Linked DNA regions of Arabidopsis thaliana. The protein of the gene in region 4 interacts with the protein of the main gene of each other region in a pairwise test. Each region holds a gene or a part of one and is shown on either strand. Other genes may lie near its edges. The genes, in order: AT5G42190, CIP4, JAZ12 and COI1.

Evidence for each region.
Region 1: the proteins of COI1 (region 4) and AT5G42190 interact in binary tests that used the Arabidopsis thaliana proteins (3 or more experiments, as listed by UniProt).
Region 2: the proteins of COI1 (region 4) and CIP4 interact in a two-hybrid assay, tested with the Arabidopsis thaliana proteins (one study listed by BioGRID).
Region 3: the proteins of COI1 (region 4) and JAZ12 interact in a two-hybrid assay, tested with the Arabidopsis thaliana proteins (one study listed by BioGRID).

Annotation. Positions count from the first base shown.
Region 1 is NC_003076.8:16,853,653-16,857,423, forward strand, and holds AT5G42190 (E3 ubiquitin ligase SCF complex subunit SKP1/ASK1 family protein), read right to left. Parts: upstream 2,090-3,771; 5' UTR 1,865-2,089; coding exon 1,523-1,864; intron 1,017-1,522; coding exon 843-1,016; 3' UTR 539-842; downstream 1-538. Other genes in the region: PER64 (Peroxidase superfamily protein), read left to right, coding at 1-369.
Region 2 is NC_003076.8:14,722,604-14,728,821, forward strand, and holds CIP4 (COP1-interacting protein 4), read right to left. Parts: upstream 4,216-6,218; 5' UTR 4,092-4,215; coding exon 3,974-4,091; intron 3,845-3,973; coding exon 3,777-3,844; intron 3,694-3,776; coding exon 3,243-3,693; intron 3,142-3,242; coding exon 2,932-3,141; intron 2,827-2,931; coding exon 2,545-2,826; intron 2,427-2,544; coding exon 1,098-2,426; coding exon of another isoform or gene 1,081-1,097; exon of another isoform or gene 1,018-1,080; coding exon 990-1,017; coding exon of another isoform or gene 986-989; exon of another isoform or gene 904-985; coding exon 759-903; 3' UTR 541-758; downstream 1-540. Other genes in the region: SUS5 (sucrose synthase 5), read left to right, coding at 1-12, 85-170, 262-310; AT5G37200 (RING/U-box superfamily protein), read left to right, coding at 5,229-5,882.
Region 3 is NC_003076.8:7,089,042-7,093,041, reverse strand, and holds JAZ12 (jasmonate-zim-domain protein 12), read right to left. Parts: upstream 2,339-4,000; 5' UTR 2,160-2,338; coding exon 2,035-2,159; intron 1,645-2,034; coding exon 1,542-1,644; intron 1,468-1,541; coding exon 1,287-1,467; intron 1,196-1,286; coding exon 1,138-1,195; intron 1,128-1,137; exon of another isoform or gene 938-1,127; coding exon 841-937; 3' UTR 503-840; downstream 1-502. Other genes in the region: AIP2 (RING/U-box superfamily protein), read left to right, coding at 1-148, 230-379; AT5G20890 (TCP-1/cpn60 chaperonin family protein), read left to right, coding at 3,136-3,141, 3,226-3,282, 3,379-3,444, 3,534-3,645, 3,747-3,875, 3,974-4,000. UniProt on the Arabidopsis thaliana protein: Repressor of jasmonate responses.
Region 4 is NC_003071.7:16,671,977-16,677,613, forward strand, and holds COI1 (RNI-like superfamily protein), read right to left. Parts: upstream 3,889-5,637; 5' UTR 3,511-3,888; coding exon 3,020-3,510; intron 2,335-3,019; coding exon 1,854-2,334; intron 1,679-1,853; coding exon 872-1,678; 3' UTR 517-871; downstream 1-516. Other genes in the region: ISA1 (isoamylase 1), read left to right, coding at 1-207; AT2G39950 (flocculation protein), read right to left, coding at 4,782-5,637. UniProt on the Arabidopsis thaliana protein: Required for jasmonate-regulated plant fertility and defense processes, and for coronatine and/or other elicitors perceptions/responses. Seems to not be required for meiosis. Required for the regulation of some genes induced by wounding, but not for all.

The DNA.
Region 1 (3,771 bases), on a different chromosome or scaffold from region 4:
TCATCGTTCCAGAATAGGCTCCATAAATTCAACACACAAAAGGAGGTTGACCCAACACTAAACCCCTCATTCGCAGCCAGGTTGGAGGGAGTGTGCCCGGCCCATAACACGGTGAAGAATGCTGGATCGAACATGGATGGAACCGTGACGTCATTCGACAATATCTACTACAAGATGCTTATCCAAGGCAAGTCACTATTCTCATCCGACGAATCGCTTCTTGCAGTACCCTCTACTAAGAAACTCGTGGCCAAATATGCAAATTCCAACGAAGAGTTCGAGAGGGCTTTTGTGAAATCGATGATCAAGATGAGTAGTATCAGTGGGAATGGCAATGAGGTCAGACTTAACTGCAGAAGGGTTCGCTAGAATCTCAATCTACGCTTCCAACATCACGTTACTACTACATTTTTATGTCTTTCGTTTTCTTTCGTCACATTGATTACTTGTGAATGGGCCTTTCTAAAGATTAAGGCAGAGGTTCTTGTATCAGAATTATCTATCAATCTCTCGTGTGTGCTTGTATAGGCATTTATTTACAAGTAATAAGATCTTTTCTCTTTCTAAGAACATGCAGACAAATCTTATCACTTGTGTTCACAACCTATCTAAATGATTGACGAAACAATAGAAGACCAACACTCTCTTTTGAGCAACAACTTCAATATGTTTCGTAGTTAAGTCTTTAATTTGACATACATAACATAACATTAACATCCGACCCACTGTCTTAGCTGGACCATCACGTAGAAGAGAATGGATATATAGTCAAAGAAAGAAGATAAGACAGGGAGACACAAATGGGTCGAGGACATGACAGCAACCTAGGTCTTCATTTTTCTTCATTCAAACGCCCACTGATTCTCACGGCGAACCTCTTCTTCTTCCTCTGGCGTGAAGTCGTTCTTGATATTGAACGTCTTACGGATTTCTTCTGGGGTTTTTCCTTTAATCATATCAGCCACTGTCTGGCAAGTCAAGTCCAACAGTCCCTTGATATTCAAGTAGTTAGCAGCCTAAAAGGTGTCACAGGGAAACCAACTTAGATTCAAGCTCTTCAACTTTCAGATAAAAATGGAACTTTATTGTTCAAGCAAATCAAACATATTGAACTACGATTCCAAAGAAAATAAACTTTATCACTCGTTTCAGACAGAACAAAACATGTCATGTTAGCATCCAAAAGGTTTCTCAGAAAAACAAATCTAGATTCAAGCAAATCCCAAAGAAATTAAACATTATCCAATGTTTAAGACAGAACATAAAAAACATGAGTTTGGATGTAAAGTGGTCTTCAGCTATAAACAAATCCAACAAACTCAAAAGAAATCTCTTGACACTTTTTTCTCTATCAGACCATATATTTCAATCAGACATGATCATAGTTTAAACTGTGAAATTGGCAATCTAAACAAAACCTGAACCCTAAAATTAGATCTCAAACAGAAATCAAGATCTCAAACCCTAGAAATGAAATCGCAAACTTTGAAAACCAAAGCAATTAAAAATAAGTTTGACAAACCAGGATAAGATCGAAGAGAGTGCCCTGATCAACTTTGATAAACTCAGAATCCCAAGTCTTGAGATCTTCATCACTAGAACCCGACGCGACGGTGGTGGTAGTAGTAGCAGCAGCAGCATCGGCCGTGGTTTCGGATTTCTCAGCAGCTTCGACATGTCTCTTACAGTACTCAATCACCTTCGAAAGGATCTTGCTTGTGACATTAGGGAGAGGGATACCATTATCGGTACAGTCATCTTCAATCATATGTTTGATGGTTTGTGACTCTAGCGCCACCGCTTCGTCAATTTCGAAGTTTTCGCCATCCGAACTCTTAAGAGTGATTTTTCTCACCGTCGACATTGGTTTTTGCTGAGTTTAGAGACGACGTGGAGGCTGAGGAAGAGAATCGTGGAACAGAGAGATGTGTGTATGGGTTAAATCAAAATGTTTTTAAAGCCCGGCTCACACATTGAACCAGTGAGATCTAACGATTCCCAATTGACTTTTTTTACCTATAAATTTTCATTTTAAAACATTTTCTCTGTTTTTTTCTTTCAAAGGAAAACACCTGAAAATTAATTCAACTCTTTTCATCAACTTTTGATTAATCAGTAGTTGAACAGATACTAAACTCCTCTATTTGTAGGATGGTGTGTATAATTTAATTGGATTCATGTGATTTGATTTCCGGTAATATTTTTCTTTGAACATCTTTGCAAATAAAGAGTTAAGAATCATAATCAATTGCGGCAGTTGTTTTGCTAATTAAGTTGTATTAAAATCATCCACATTCTAGAAACCAAGTCCACCGTTACGACAAAACTTATTTATTTTTTATTTTATTTTTCTTATTTTTTTTTAATTTTAAATTTCCATTAAAACAAACAACAAGTTATAAGACAAGTGTCCAAACATAAGCACACAGGCTCGAAAACATACACATCCAAAAGCTCAAATCCAAGGCGCGCAGGCCCGACAACAAGAGCAAAGCCCAAAACAACCAAAGAAGCTGAAACTTAAAAATAGCAGGCCCAAAAACCAAAAGAACGAAGAGGGAACGACCCAAGGACTCAAAAAACTCATAAGGAAACCTGAACCGCAGAGGAGGACCTAACTGAAGAGACGGAACCAAGTAGCAAGCAGAGAGGCACCCGGAGGAGGAGAGGGAGAGCAGAGAGGCACTATGACAAAATTTATCTCATGCCTTCCACTGTAAACGTTTTGTTCGTCCATTGGAACTCTACCAAAATTTCGTTACTACATTCCTAAGTTTTGATGTTACTGATTTTGGTAATCTAAAACAAGACAATACATAAGTAAGCAATGCATCTGGTACTGATTTAATCAATACTTCTTTGCCATCTTTAGATAAGAATTTTGTAAACCAACCATTTATTCTATTATGTAAATATTTTCTAAAAGAGTAAATTTTTTTTGTCTTAGATCCTCCTAAACTTTTCGATAATCTCAAGTAGTTGTTCATGTCCCCTATATTAGTGATTTCGAAGATTGCCATAAGTTTGTCCATCATCGAGTTGTCAACTCATGACCAAAAACCTCTTCATAGTTCTTTAGTATTCCAAATCCAATGACGCATTGTTTTTTTTGTCGTTTTACAAAAAAGAAGCTATCATCCACGAACATAAGTGAAATATTGAGGGATTCGCTTGTAAAAATTTCATCCCCGCTAAAATCTTATCTTATTAAATAAAGTGAGAAAAATCTAACTTGCGTTATCTAAATTTTCACCAAAGCATAATCGGCCATTATCCTAGTAAAAAATATGGGCCAATAAAAAATATATTTAGATTCACCCCTTTATTCACCTTTTTATTCCATTAAATTAGAATTTATACCTAATAAATAAATTAAATTTATTTTATTATAAAATCTAATTTGCCACAAGAACAAAATTTTATATAGTTTTGGGTTTATAAGAAAGGATTGAAGTTTAGATTTTACTATTAAATATCGATTTGAGTTATAAACAGTTTTAGATTTTATAACTAAACGAGATTGAACGTCTGTTTGGTTTTATAAATGGATTTAGATTTTATAATTAAACAATGTTAAATATCGGTTTGGGTTTAGAAAGAACGGTTAGAGATTTAGAGTTTGCAATTAAAAGAGTTTAAATATCGAATTGGGTGTACAAAGAAGAACTAGGGTTAGATTTTATAATTAAACGAGATTACATTTTGGTTTGAATTTTTTAAAAAGTGGTTAGAATTTAATTTTTTTTTACTTTTTATTTAGAATTTAGATTT
Region 2 (6,218 bases), on a different chromosome or scaffold from region 4:
TACCGAAATTTGGTAAAACTATTAGTCTTTTATTTTTGTTTTCACTTTGTGTGAATGTTTTTTTTAACCATTTGTTTAAAACAGGTGAAAACTATACCCATATTGAGTGATATTCCTGAGCCTCCTCCTCTTCCTCCAAAGCCTTTGGTGAAACCATCAGCATCAAAAGGGTAAGTTAATTTACATTTAGAATCACTACGGATTATATAAGAGTAATATATTCATGTTATAAATTTGTAAATTTTCTTCATATTTTTACAGCTCGAAGCGAACACAGCCGCGATTGAGTTTCAGGTTGTTTGGTGCTTAAGCTCTCTTCTGAACAAGTGAGCTAATATCAGGAAAATCTGAAACATGTTGATGCTTCAGTTATATTTATACGCATTGTAGTTTCATGTGTAAGATACTCAAGTTGTGTGATTGCAAGTATAATAAAGGGAAAAAGAAACACAATGTATTTGATTTTTACCATTGATTCTTAGTAGGTTTTGTATGATATTACTGATGTTAACATGTTGAAGTTGAAGGATTTGTTATCTTGAAGCTCAAGAAATCTGGGATTCAAGTATTATGGAACCAAACACGAGGATTAACCGAGACGAGATTAACATTTAGCTGTTGCAATACCTCTTATAAAGCACTTCCGATTAACATAAAATGTCAGAGAAGAAGCACCATACCAGAATTAGTTAGAACAAGCAAAACCGTGATTTGAAGATTTTGGTCAAAATTGAATCCAAAAGGATAATCAATAAAACTTAGATGGCGGCTTGGCTATCTGGGACAACATTTATCCCAAGGCTCTCATCATCGAATGCAACCGATTGTGATAGAGAAGCTGTCAGTTTCGCCGCCTTGTAACTTTTTGAGCTTCTTAGGATATCTTGCAGGCTCCCTGATAACCTGTTCACAAGACGAGTAAAAGAGTTCATGACAGTAGTCTGTGCAGCTAAGATTGAAAATAATAATACCCTGAACCGGTTACTTACCTATTTGTTCCTCCAACGAGATTATTTCCTGTTGAAACCAAGAATCGAAATTAGCATATCTGGTTGAGAGAACGTGTGATCAAAGTTATATTCAGATCGATAAAATACCTTGCTTCATATACATAGAAGAAGTCACATCACTATCATTGTCTGATGAACTATCTGATGGTGCATTAGAGGAGTCACTCGAAGTCGTCTTAGATTCATCCTCCTCAGCATCCTTGAAGAAATTCGTTGTGATCTTGTTCGCCGTGACTGAGTTAGAGATTTTCTTCACAACTTCCTTCTTGTTGTTGACATTCACCTTACTATTGTTCACTGTAACCGAATTAGAGCTTTTCTTCACGGCTTCCTTCTTGTTGTTTACTGTGCCTTTCATGGATGCATCAGAAAGATCAACCTTTGATCCATTGCGATCATTCTTAGCCCTTGACTGCAATTGACTAGTACCTGAACTAGATGGTTGAACTCTACCTTTTGTCTCTTTCACTTTCATTGAGCCATCAATGGAACCACCAGGATGCAAATCAAGGCTTTTCTTCTCCTTTTTAGATTTAGCTCCACCAGTCACTTGGTCTTCCTTGTTAGTACCACCAACAATATCGTCCTTTTGGCTAGAACCAAAATTGTCTCCCATATCAGCGTTCTCTTTCAGTACTTGCATGGAACGGTTAAGATCCTCAGTATTATCGGTGACCTCACTAATCTTTTTCAAAGGCGAAGCATTGCTCTCAGTAGTTTTCTTAGCTGGCGTGAATGATGCATCTGTGTCTTTTGGGTTGTTGATGGGAGAAGCCTCCTCCTGAGCAACATTGTTTACCTCAACTGACAAAACTTGGGCTTCCTCCACAATGTTCAAAGAGTCTTTCTTCTTTGTTTTCTTGCTTGACTTCTTCCCACTTTTTTCCAGATTTTCCTCAGCTTCTTTCTTTTGCTGCAAAGAATCTACTACTTGGGCCTCCTCCACAATGTTCAAAGAGTCTTTCTTCTTCGATCTCTTGCTTGATTTCTTCCCACTTTTCTCCATATTCTCCTCAACTTCGGTCCTTTGCTGCAAAGAATCTAATACATTTCTGATATCATTAACATGTCCTTCTCCATCTACAACTTTGATAGGTTCAACATTCTGTGCACCAAAATCTACCAGAGTATCTTCTTTAGCTGGGGTCTTGGCTTTTCTTGAACTTTTCTTCTTAGTAGACTTCACAGATTTAGCCTGATCAGCATCTATTTCAACTCTTTCCTGAGGAACTTTATGTTCAGTATCCGTAACTTTACCTATGTGGTCCAGCGTTTTCGATTCCTGGACAAAGGCATGTGGGGTGCTCGCCATACCAGCAACTTGTAGATTACTCGCAGCTTGTATTTCGTCTGCACCGATAAGTGTGGCCTCTCCACTTCCCACCTTGTCAACCAATATGTCAGCCATCTCATTTCCTTCCAAAAAAAAAAAAATCACCAGTTATGAGTTGATAATAACTCCCTGTGACATTAACATATGATTGAAAAGAAGAACTATCTTCGACCAAGAATCCAATTTACCATTTTGTCTTACCATTTTGTTTGATGTGATCTTTTGAGCTCTTCATTCGCTTTCTCTTCTTCTCTGTAGCTGGACCAGTTGTCAAACTACTGCTAGCTTCCAACTGGTTATCCACGTTAGTCACCACTTCAGCAGTTTGAAGATTATCGACAGCACTTGGAGCCAATCTTCTTCCCTCACCTCTCTCATCAACTTGTGACGTAATCTGCCCATCTACAAGTTTTGAAGCAGGTGGAAGATCCTTCTCTTGGTCAATCATGACTATATCAGCAGTTTTTCCTCCCTTTTCAAGATCTACAGAAATTCAGAAATGTTATCAAGGGTAAGCATACCATAACTCTCCATAACAACTAATAAAGGATCCCAAAACTCAATCATAGTTAAAAAAAGAAAATTCACCTTGTTCTATTGTTCCCGTAAGATCATCTACTTTTTCTAGAGCTTCTTTAATAGTTTGATTGTCTGGTACTTCCTTCACCACACCACCGGTATGCCCATCTACAAGCTCTGAATTAACAGTGAGATTTTTCTCTTCCAGTAGCCTTTCCGTAACAGAAGTTTGCTGCTTCTCTCCCATACTAAGGCCGCTTTTCTCGCCGCTTTCAATATCTATACAACATCAGATATTACAACCAAAGGTAATTCAACTGACACTCTCCAAAAACATCTGAAAAATCACTACATTCCATATTAACCAAAACAGAGGGTACCTGCTCTCGTAACAACATCATCTAGCTTTTCTCTTGGTGAAACTGCACAAGATTGAGAGACAACTTCACCCTTTACTTTTCCACATAACTCGGTAGTAGCAGCAACAGCAGATGGACTGAGATCAACCTTAGATTTCTTTGGACTTGTATTCCCACCCGGACTTATAATTCTCCTCTTCCTTGTCTTCTCCTCAACTACTTCGGTTTCCAAACCTTCTCCACTAGTCAAATCCTTATTATTCATATCATCTACAAGTACTAAACCATTTGCAATCTCTTCCTTCTTCTCAACCAACTCAAGGTTTTGATCAGCAGCCATTATAGCATACATCTTACCCTTGTCAACTCTAATGGCATCAATATACATAAACCAGTTTCTACTAATGCCATCAAAAGCCTTACACACATGCAAAGAATCTGAGAAATGATAAAACTTTCTTCGTCTTTTAACCTTGAAACAAAATTAAACCAATCATCAATTATACTTGTTCCTAACAACAAAAATGTATGAACAAAGCAGCAAAATCCAATTACCTTCAAGGCAGAGATTTGAATTTCTCCAATTTCTGGGAAAACTTGTTTATGCTCCTTGAGTAATCTGTCTATAAACCAAACCAAAAAAAAAAAAAATGATCAGAGAAACTCAGTAATAATAAGTTTAAGTAGTAGATTTCAGTGGAGTATGAAGAGATTTAGTAAGCCGATTCAGTGATAAATTTGAGAAGAGAGACCTTTGAAATCGGAGATGATTTCATCTTTATGCACATGTAAAATGAGACGAGTGTCGAGGTTGGTTTCTACAAAGACGCATCGAATCTCCGGTGAGGAATTTGTTTCGCGATTAGCCATTATTTCGAAACGAGACTGGAATTGGAAGGAGACGAGCGAAGAAGAAGAAGAAGAAGAAGAAGAAGAGAGCGTTTGGGAGAAAGAAAAAAGGATAAAACTTTTCTGTTTAATGGTCCAGCCCTATATAAGCCCAAAAACTTTTCAGCAAAACCCTATTTAAGCCCAAAACTTTCTCGTTTTGATTGAATGCGAAAGTGGAATTGTAGCAAATTTAGGATGGTACAGTTCTCCTCTTGAAACAAATGCTCATATCCTCTTGAATCCTCCTCGTCTCACGCGACTTATTATCACTCAACTCCTTGATGATCAATTTTTAGGTCAAACAATCGCTCATTGTGTTAAGGATTCACTTGCTAATGATAACTCTCTTCGACAACCGTCTATGCATGTGAAATATATCAAACAATCGCTCATGATTTTTGTGTCTCCAAGTAGTCGCCAATATACACTATATATTAGTGTCACACTCTAGTCGCAAATTTGTGACTATTGTGCGACCATCTTGTTCGGGACTACTCATAATAGTCTCAAATTAGTCGTAAATAGCATACATATTTGCGATTATTATAGGACTCTTTTGGTGGTTGTGTTTTCTTATATTATATCTAAACGGAGAGATAGAACATTTGAATGAAGACGAAAGTGGATAAATTGATAACAAATACAGTTCTCCACTTCAAACGGGTTCTCACATCCGCCTTGAAGCCACGAAGCTTCAGGCCACGTTATTTATCTCACTTCATTCCTCAACTCCTTCATGAACAAGAGGTACTGGTTCTATTGTCGAGATTTAGGTTTAAAAATCTCTGTTGACGTTTATTATTTTGTTTCTCACTAAACCAGAATAAACCGAAATAATACCAAACAATGTTTTGGGGATATAATTCCGGTACAGTGTTAAATATGTAGATTAACTTAACTTACAAGTTACAGCGGTAGAGTTTTAGAAAAGGAAAACATGAATCTTATCGATTAAAAAAATGAAACAACAAATGATATTGTACAACTCGTCTCTATATAAATTGATGAGACATGTCATCTGAAGAAATCTATTTCATTCTCTTTTCGCTTCTCTTACTCTTCTTTTGCAAGTTAGGGTTTCATTAATTTTTGTTTGAAAAACTTCTACTCTGCCATATGGAGACTGAGACGTTGAGAACAATAGAAGTCTCTACGATGGTATCAAATCGACCTAAAATTGTAGGGGTTACGAACACAGTCTTAATCTACCAAGAAGAAGAAATTGAAGAATTGATTGAATACGAAAGTGGAATTGTAGCAAATTTAGGATGGTACACATCTCCACTTGAAACAAATGCTCACATCCTCTTGAATCCTCGTCGTCTCACGCGACGTGTTCTCACTCAACTCCTTGATGATCAATTTTTAGGTCAAAAAATCGCTCATGATGTTAAGGATTCATTTGCTAATGATAACTCTCTTCGACAACCTGTTACCGTAACCGTCTATGTGACATATATCAAAGAGAGGCGTGTAATTTTTCCTCATGGTCCGTCGTTGTTGTCGAGAGGTGCTTCCGGAGAAGTGTTTCATAGATTGGTTGAAGAACAGAGAGTTGAATCTGCTGATTTGGAAGAAGAAGATGAGACATGTTCGATTTGTATTGAGAAGTTTTCGGAGAGTCATGAAGACATCATTCGGGTGCCTGATTGTTTACATTTGTTTCACCAAGGTTGTCTATTCGAGTGGCTTGGTCTTCAAAACTCGTGTCCCTTGTGTCGCAAAGTTCCATACGAGGAGGAGGACGAGGACGAGGACGAGGAGGGTTAGGGTCTTGGAGGTGTCTTCTTATGTTTAGGTATAGAATTTGAAGTCCATTTGATTTCTTGAGGCGTAATCATTATTATGTAATCAGTTCTGTCTTAATGTTATGTATAAACATTTAAGATATGTTCTGTCGTAATGCACAAGTATCATGAAAGACATTATTACTTTTGAGTTATAACAAATGTGAATCAGGCTACTCTTTTGATGCATTGCTCAAAAGCATTATTGGCACAAAGTCCCTTGAGAAGATGATCTCTCTGTGTGTTCCACAGAACTATTGCACAATGGATTAGATCAAGTTTGCTAATTTAAGCTTCTTCTTTCTCAATGGTTTGCATG
Region 3 (4,000 bases), on a different chromosome or scaffold from region 4:
AGTCATTATTTTCACCGAGGAATTGCTTAAAAAGTTTGGAGCAGAGGCAGAATGTTGCATCTGCAAGGAGAATCTAGTTATTGGCGACAAGATGCAGGAATTGCCATGCAAGCACACATTTCACCCTCCTTGCCTAAAGCCTTGGCTGGTATAAAAAAAAAAATCCCATTCTTTCAAGCTTACTAGTAAGTAAGAACATAAAGCTTATGCTCATATTGTTTTATGGCAGGACGAGCATAACTCTTGCCCTATATGCCGCCATGAATTACCAACAGACGATCAGAAATACGAAAACTGGAAAGAGAGAGAGAAAGAGGCCGAAGAAGAGAGGAAGGGCGCAGAGAATGCTGTCCGCGGAGGTGAATATATGTACGTTTAAATTTCAATCAGTTATGGCACACTCCCATTGTCTTTCCTTGAAACATCTCCGAATTGTTGTTCATCATTCACAATTATAAATCCCATTTTACATATAGATTCAATGTCTTTTGTATGAAAGCTTATAATAACAACACAGACTTCTTTACTTTACACACAATTGTATCTTGAAGAGATGACAAGTTCAATAACATAACATCAAAGAGTCATTAGTTAGATAGACTCTAGGACAGTGTTACTAACTACAATAGTTTCTTCAGTAGAATTGTAAAATGGCAAACATATCTGACCACTCCCAGACATGGAAACAATCTTCGGTTTGTCTAGCAAACCTATACAGACACTATCATACAACACATTACACACAGCAGCGTACATGATAGATTATCATATTAATTACTATATTGACAAAACGTTTTACTTAGTTTGCTTATAAGCTTAATGTGGAGGTTTGATCTTCTGCTAAGCAGTTGGAAATTCCTCCTTGATAGAGACATTGCCTGTTGGGACATCTGTCTTTTTGAAGTCTGAAGTAGGGTAAGGGTTTTTGTTGACCAATCTGCAGATAAAAAAAAGTGAATGTTATTGTTAGATGCAATATCAAGGTTAAACATTATGATCAATCTGTCTTTACAAGTCTCTCACAGGTACATTAACAAGCTCTGTATTAGTAATCAATCAAAAACTGAATAAAATAGATCAGATTTGAATTTCCATTGAAATGGAGAAGGATGAAGTGTAATTTTAAAGGCTGCATACCTGTCCCGTCTTTTCTCGAGGAATCGTTGAAGCGAATGCCTCCTTGCAATAGGTAGATCTGTTACGGCAAACATAATTGTAAGAAACTAATGAGAGTATCCATTTTCAAGGTTTGAAGATTACTATAACCAGTTGAATCGAATACTTACCAGCCGTGGATCTGCAAAACGAGATTGGCTGAATAGGAAATGGCTGTGCAGCTGGTGATGCCACATTAGATGTGCTTGAGAAAGAAGGAGCTCTGTTCAGTGCTGGCGATGAGACAGGACTGATGCTTGTAGAATTCTTTGTCTCCATTGCTTTAGCAGCAATACGAAGGATTTCTTGAACCTATAGGCATAGATCACAGTGAGAACAGAAATTCTGAAGTTTTTCTGACAACAACAAAGCTCTAATGGACCAACCTTTTCTGATGGAAGTCCATCAAACACAGTAACACTTCCACCAAAGAAAATAGTAAGTTGATTTGGAGGAACCGTTGGCTCAGCGGTTTGAATCTCCGTGGACCTTCAATAGCAGAAGATCTATTAAACTTGTGACCGACACTATAAAGATGGACTTATTGATGCAACATTAAGAAAACTCTCCACATATGAATCCAGTCTCTCCAATTTCACATGTTAACGGTGAAGTTCTATTAATCAAATTCACATGAAAACTTATGTATGCATTAAAGGACTTTGAAAAACACAAGTTTGTTAAGAATCCAATTGTTCCAGCCAAAAAACAAATTGGTTCCATTGAGAAATATGACTTTCCCTAAATAGAAACTAAAGTAACCAGATCGAAATGCTGATCTTCCTTATCAGAAACAAGATACAATTTTAAGTACTAAACTCAAAGCAAAGAGAGAAACAGATAAAAACATGTGAAATCAACAGTAAACACAGCTCATACCTAACTTCGTTAATCGATTTCTCAACAGATCCGGTACCGCCGATCTCAGCCGCGCCGCCGTCACCGTCGGCAACACCACATCCACCTTCAACGGAAGCGCGTGGCTCATCTTTCACCTTAGTCATGGCTTGTCTCTCAAAATTTGTAGATCTGTCTTTTTCCGATGAGAATTTTGATACTTCTCTCCCTTAGAGTACTTTTGTTTCGCTTCGTCTCTACGTCGTTCAGACCGGGAACCTCCGAGATTTATCCTTCTCAGAAGCTCCTGTAATTTGACACCTGGCGATAGATATTGATTTTTATTGTTTGACTTTTGGTGCTACGACAGTAAAAGACAACAAGAGGGTAATTAGAAACGTGCTCGAATATGATACGGTGTCGTTGGCCTTCTATGTGGGACATGCTTTCTCATTTCGGTTATCCGGAACTCCAAACGTGTATAATTTATAAGTGGCTGAGACGTTAAACTAATTGAGTTTGCTGGACCTTGATTCATTGGGCTCTTAAAGTACTGTTGGGCTTAGTCGTCTTAAAATGACTTCTAAAATGGACCTTGACTGCTTACATTTATAATGTTTCTCTTTCTATTTTATAAGCCTCTTTACATTTATAGTTTTTTTTAGTAACAATATTCGCATACAAATCACGAATTAATTTATTTCTGTTTTTGTATTCGACCGCTAAATCATCACCAAATTCAAATTTGTATATGGAACATTTTTTTTTTTCCTCTATATAATCAAACAAAATGCAAAATTGTCGAAACTATAAAATTTACTTCTTAATGTAACTTATAACTTTTTGGTTAAGGGTTAATCTAAACTTTTTAGTTTTTACTGAAGGGCGCATAAGAAATCTGGGAAATACGAGGGTAGTTTGGTCTTTACGAGTTTCATTTAGGGTTCCGAAAGATCTGGGTTTTGGCTCTCTCCTCTCATTTTCTACTCTTCTTCAAAAGCACACTCAATATTTCGAGATCCTCTCGGCTTGTTCGTTCTTCGTGAACGATCCCATCTATTGTTTCTCGCTAGTCTCAGATTCGACTAACTTGGATATCTCCGATACTGAAGAAGCCTCCTTCTTCTTTTTCCGCTCTTCCCGATGCCGGTAATGTTCCTCCGTCGTCTCTTTCAATCCTTTTGCTTTTCCCCAGTGCTCTCCGTTAACTGAACTTAGCTATTTCGTATTTAGATCGATAAGATCTTCAAAGATGATGCTAGTGAAGAGAAGGGAGAACGTGCGAGGATGGTGAGTCTTTTGAATCGATTAGGATTTAGGGTTTTTCAGATTCACTCTTCTACTGTTTAAATCTGATTTTCTTTTCTTTTGTTGTTGCTCTTTTAGGCATCATTTGTTGGTGCAATGGCTATCAGTGATCTGGTTAAGTCTACTTTAGGGCCAAAGGGCATGGTAATTTCCGATCTCTGAATATTTAGAAAGCTACAAACTTTCAATTTGGTTCTATTGATTATTGTTGAATCCTTTTTATTATTGTTTAGGATAAAATCTTGCAATCTACTGGTAGAGGTCATGCGGTCACTGTTACTAACGATGGTGCTACTATTCTCAAGTCACTTCACATAGACAACCCTGCAGCTAAAGTTCTTGTTGGTATGTAATTTCCCTGCGACATTCTGGCATGAAGTTTTCACATTCGTTTTTTCTTAGTTGGGTTTTCTCTCACAGTTCGTTGTATCTGGTTTGTTCTTCAGACATCTCGAAAGTTCAAGATGATGAGGTTGGTGATGGAACTACCTCTGTTGTTGTCTTGGCCGGCGAGCTTCTGAGGGAAGCAGAAAAGCTTGTGGCTTCTAAGATTCACCCTATGACCATCATAGCAGGTACACTTTTGGAGCTTTAAGTGTTAAGATGTCAACTTTGTATCAGCTTCTCTCACTATGGCAATGATTTCTAATTTTTTCGTTTTCTGGTTTCTTAGGTTACAGAATGGCTTCGGAATGTGCTC
Region 4 (5,637 bases):
CTTGTTTCGCTACCGAATAGGCCAGGATACCGATGGGAGCCATTTGTAGACACGAGCAAACCGAGCCCTTACGACTGCATAACACCGGATCTCCCAGAGAGAGAAACGGCGATGAAGCAGTATAGGCACTTCTTAGATGCAAATGTGTACCCAATGCTCAGTTACTCATCCATCATTCTCCTTCTTTCACCAATTAAAGACCCCTGAGTTTGCGTGATTCCTCCAAAAGCGTATTAGACAAAATCACAACATATGAAGGAATCTTCTCAAATGTGAATGAGATGCATATACAGACAACTATTTCGTTACCTATATAATGTATTATAGTAAAGGTTCCTTTTATGGTTAGAAGAATCTGAATGGGGTACCTTTGGTCGGCTTCAGATATGCCCACTCATTGTTAATAGATTCCTTTATCGTCTGTTAATCCAATCAAAAGCTTGTTACATCGTTTTCAGAATTCGTGTAAGAACAAGAAATCAAAGTTTTCATCTATAAAGTTATAAATGATTATTAGTACTCTATTATTTGCCTTTTTACTAATGTTATCAAAACAATCACAACCACAAATAAAGTTTCAGATGCCAATCCAAACAAATATAGCTCTCAGAAGTCAACACCATGGACGATAAAGAAATCTCTCAAAATCTTCGGGGTTTTATTAAAGAAATTAAAGTAAACAGACCCCTGAGGAAAAATAAAGAAGTAATGACCATACAACAAACAAGACTGACTCTATGTAATCTCCCAAAAACATCGACGACACAACATGAAACAAAAAAAGAACCAAAGTAGTATAGTACACAGTTTGTGGAAACCCCAAAACTCGAGACTAAAAATCTTTATATACAAACCTGTTTTTTGGGTCATATCATATTGGCTCCTTCAGGACTCTAACAGTTGTTGGACAATCTGTTCTCTGGCCAGCCAGAGAGTAGTAAGCCAATATATGAGCCGGATGCTCCATCTCTCTTATCTCTCCTTGTTGATTCACTTCCGGGACTCTTCTTGATGGAATCAGCTCGATGTTCCAGTACGGTCTAGCCATCTGCATTAGATCTTGTCCCGTCATCGATGCTCTGTAACCTTGTACCCACAAGTATCTCAGTGAAGGCAATTTTGTAACCGCTGCAGCGATTGCTCGCTCACTGAAGCAACAACCTCTCATCTCTAGCTTCTGTAGATTTGGACAGCCTCTTGAGAATTCCATTAAACCTTCATCTGATTCACCTACGTAACCCAGCAGCATCCATCTCACGTTTGGACTGTACTGTCCGATGTAGCTTAAGCCCAAGTCGGTTAAGCCGCCTTGTCTCAGATAGAATGCAAATCGTCTGAGTTTCTTGCATCCAATCAAAAGAGATCGGACTCCGTTGTCCAGTGGCAGATCTGTAATCCTTTCTTCCCGGTCGAGTAAGACAAGGCGGAAGTCACAGAGGTTTTTCAGATATGTGCCTATGCTTTCAAGAGATTCGTTAGTTATATCTGAGACATACACCGCCATGTATTCTAGCTCCTGGCAGCCCTGAGCCAAAGCGATTAATCCTCTTTGTGAGACTAAGCCTTCTTCGTCCTCCATTCCTTGTTCATCTGCACCGCGTTCAATCCTCAGCCGCTTCAACTGCTTACAGTACTGTGCAAGGACCTCTAGACCCCTATCTCCGATTACATTCCTTGTCTGAAGAAAAACAACAAGTGTTGTCAGTCTTATATAGATGTAAAGACTAAAGAGAACCAATATTGCATTCATATCCCTTATCTCCCCAAATATTTCGTGAAAAAATAGGAACACAATTTAGTACTAAGGACGCATTCCCAAGTATGTAGTAAAGACAGCAAAGTTAAACGTTTACCTCGAGAACTTCCAAATTAGGACACTTTTGGATAAGCGTACAATGGTCTTCAGTTTCTAGCAATGCATAAAGCAAATCCAGCTTTCGGATTTGGGCCGCGAATGGAAATAGTATTGGCATTTCATTAGGTCCCATGTAAGAGAGACCAAGCCGACATAGTTTTCGGGGAAAAACCAGATTCATGTACTTCTCAGGCATTCCAATATCCTCATTCAAGGAGCCACCACAAAATTCTTCAAGATTAGCTGCAGCCTTAAAGAACCCAACTAGTTCCAAAATCTCAAAGTCACCGACCTTCACAGATACCAGAGAGCGGCAATTTCTAGCTATGGTTTCCAAGTCTTTGGGACTGATTTTGGCAAACTCCGTCATGTAGAAGTTTAAAACCTCAAGAGATGTGTTGTGCTGAGCAAGCTCATGAAGCCACTTACCATCCTTTTCACTAAAAGAACTCTCTTCCATTAACAAAGTTTTTATTTTCCTGGACAAGACAACAGACAGTTGCATGAATAAAGTGAGAAACAACTCAAGATATTTGGATTTCCCGCTAAAACTGAATATGAAGAACAGCAGCAGCCGAATCAAGGATTCAAAAACCAAATAATACACATAAACTCTGGCAGACTGAAGATGTCAGAAATCAATCTTTTTGCTATTTATGCATAAACAAAGTGAATGTTCCCCAAAGAGGGAAAAAATTGGTTGTAGATAAAATCCGGATCAAAGTTTATACTTCCCCAATTGAGAAATAACTGAAGATCATTGCAATTTCTGCTTTAATAGCAAGCATAACAGTTGCAAAGCAATTAAGGATATAAGACAAACATGAACGCCTAAATACTGAAACTTTCTGAAATAAATGTTTCTGCTTATATTACTCTTAGTGTAAAGTGTACTAAGAAATCAAATGAAGTAAGGTTCACCAATTTCATTAAGGACAAAAAGTATCCACCAAAGTTACAACTTACCCAATTGAGCTAAAGAAGATCAAATCTTTACAAACACAAACTCAAGATATGGTTCTTTGTACAACGACGACTTATTAAGTTTTTTAAAAAGAGCCAAATGCATCTAGAGTTCTAGTCAAAGTAGGAAATGATAAGGAGTCGCTAAACCTCAAAAGCATCGAGCCAAAGTAGCTACAAGATACTGAGAAGTAAGTGTACCTGCAGTGTGTAACGATGCTCAAAAGTCCATCAGTAGTAAAACCAGAACACTTGTCTAGCTTCAAAGTCTCAAGATCATCTGCTCTAGCTTTAGCTAAACGATCTAGATCTAAGTCACTGACAATCATCCGTCGGAAGTGCACCGATTTGAGCTGCCTAAGGTTGTTAGAAATCTCAGTAACCCAAGGAGTAACATAACCTCCCCAGTTCTCAGGGATCAGATTAAACATAGCTGCTCTAGGCTTGCCTTTAAGCTTGAGCGACCTCAAGTTCGGGAATCGACGGCTAAGACGATCAGGCGTCGCAGTGTAGCAAAGCGCCATAGTCACATGCTCTCTCGTCTCGGAATCAATCTTGAACCATCTCCGACACACCAAAGAAGCCGAATCGCGATCTTTCGGGTCAGTTATATAGGTCATGACTTGCTCGATGACATCATCAACCGTCGCGACGCAGCTCAATTTACACCTCTTGATATCAGGATCCTCCATCGGATCGAAAAAAAAACAAAAGAAAAAAACAAACGAATCCTGGAAAGATTCGATTTAGAGAAGAAACCGACGACTTCGAATTGAAATCGAGGTCGCAGATCCACACATAACCACCAGAGTGAGAAGAAAGAAGTAAGAAAGGAAAGATCCGGTGAATCGGAGAAGACTAGAGATTGAGAGAGTGAGGGAGAAGAAGACACGCGTAGGAAGAAGAGGCGGATTGGGAGGAAGAAGAAGAAAGTGGGACGATGGAATCAAATTTTGTTTGGTTAATAATATTTTTGAGGATCAAGTGGGACGATCATTATTTCATACACTGAAGTTGACGGTCGAGATGCGATCTTCTCTCTACTTCTATGTTTTTCTTTTCATTTTTGCAGTGGTCAGATCTCAGCTACACGACAATATTATTAGAATATTTAACTGATCCAATAAGCTGTGTGATTTATTCGATGGATAGATTTAATTATTTCTTTATAGAGTATTAATAACCTGAATCCTAAGCAAAAAATTTAAAAATACTAAATACTAGTATATGTTATCTTTGGTTGCTTTATATGTGATTAAAATAAAAATACAATAATTCTCCTTTCTTTTGTAAGATAAAAATTTTCTACAGTATTAGTAGCTTTTAATGAGGAAAAAAAAAGTTGTTGACTGCATGAATTTATATGGTCCATAATATGGTTAACTATATATTATGGACCATATGAATATAAGTATATAACAAAAAACTACATTTAATGATGTATGATTTTCAAGGTTTATTTGGTACAAGTTCAACATCAATTGTCGAAAGAAAGCGCTCAAAATGGTACTTTTGGAACAAAGACTATTTACATGTCTTTTTTTTAACGTCTTTGGGATTAAATCATTCAGCAACAAGACTTAAAAAGCAGCAAATTATTAACTTTTAGTGCTTATTACAGTTGCGAAAAGAACCAATCACATTGAAATTTCTTTCAGTGACAAAAGTTTTTCCAATAGAAAAAAAAAGCTCAGGAAAAGTATTAGAAAGAACAACAATGACTATGAATAAGGAGGGAACCATGAAAGAAAATGAATACTGCAAAAGAACTTTTTTATTATGATCGTATTTCTTAGCTTCATTTGAAACTCGGAAATAACAAAGGTAATATAAGCAAGCTACAAAAAACCCGACTAATTACACCTGAAACCAAAAGACTTGGGCTGAACAAAACCAAAAACTAGGCGAGAGATGAGTTTTCTATACACTTAACTCGGACCACACTTACAAAGAACCAAAAAAATTAACCAGAAGTCTCTCTGGGAGGCGCAGGCACTGCTTCGCTTGAGCTCACACTCTCACCACCACCATCTCCTCCCTCAACTGAACTCGGTTGTTGCAACCCAATAGGTGCAAACAAGCTCACACCACTCACATCCCGGCTCACACTGTATAGACCTCTGCTTCCATGATGGTTCAAAGGTGTAGATGTTGTTGCATTGGCTCCGCTTATGAGCAATCGTAGTGTTTCTCTTGCACCTTTCTCGACCAGCGAATCATTCTCCACTGGGAGCGGAGGGATGCCCGTGGATATTATCCCGGTGGGTCCAGCGCTTACCAGATAGCTTTGACCTGAAGAGAAGATATCGATAACTGGAATATGAACAATAGGGTCGCACATTATAGGAATCATCATCTGTTGCTGGGATGATGATGATGATGAGCCTGGAATGGGTATGTGGTGGACTAATGGTAATGGAGGGATGTCAGAGAGATCGAGCGGTGATGACGGGATCAAGAATCCATCTGATCCCGATGCTGGTAATAAGGAGGAAAGTGGCGGAAGGGAAGGTAGCTCAATGGATAGTGGAGGGAACTGATAAGAGGCAGATGGTGCGTGAAGCGATGAAGTGGTTGGAGGGCACCAGCAATAATAAGGAGAAAAGACTGGTGGACCCATCTTCAAAGGAAATGGGGGAGGTCCGGTCATTGTACTTGGTGTTGACTCTGCTTCTTCAAAAGCAATAATTTGTCTGATTCCATTATAATTCTCAGTAGCTTCTTCAACTTCTCCTTCTGACTGGATAAAACCCTCTACATTGGTGGGGATAGAGGTAATGGATGAATTATCAAAGATTGAGAAATGGCCTTCACTGTGT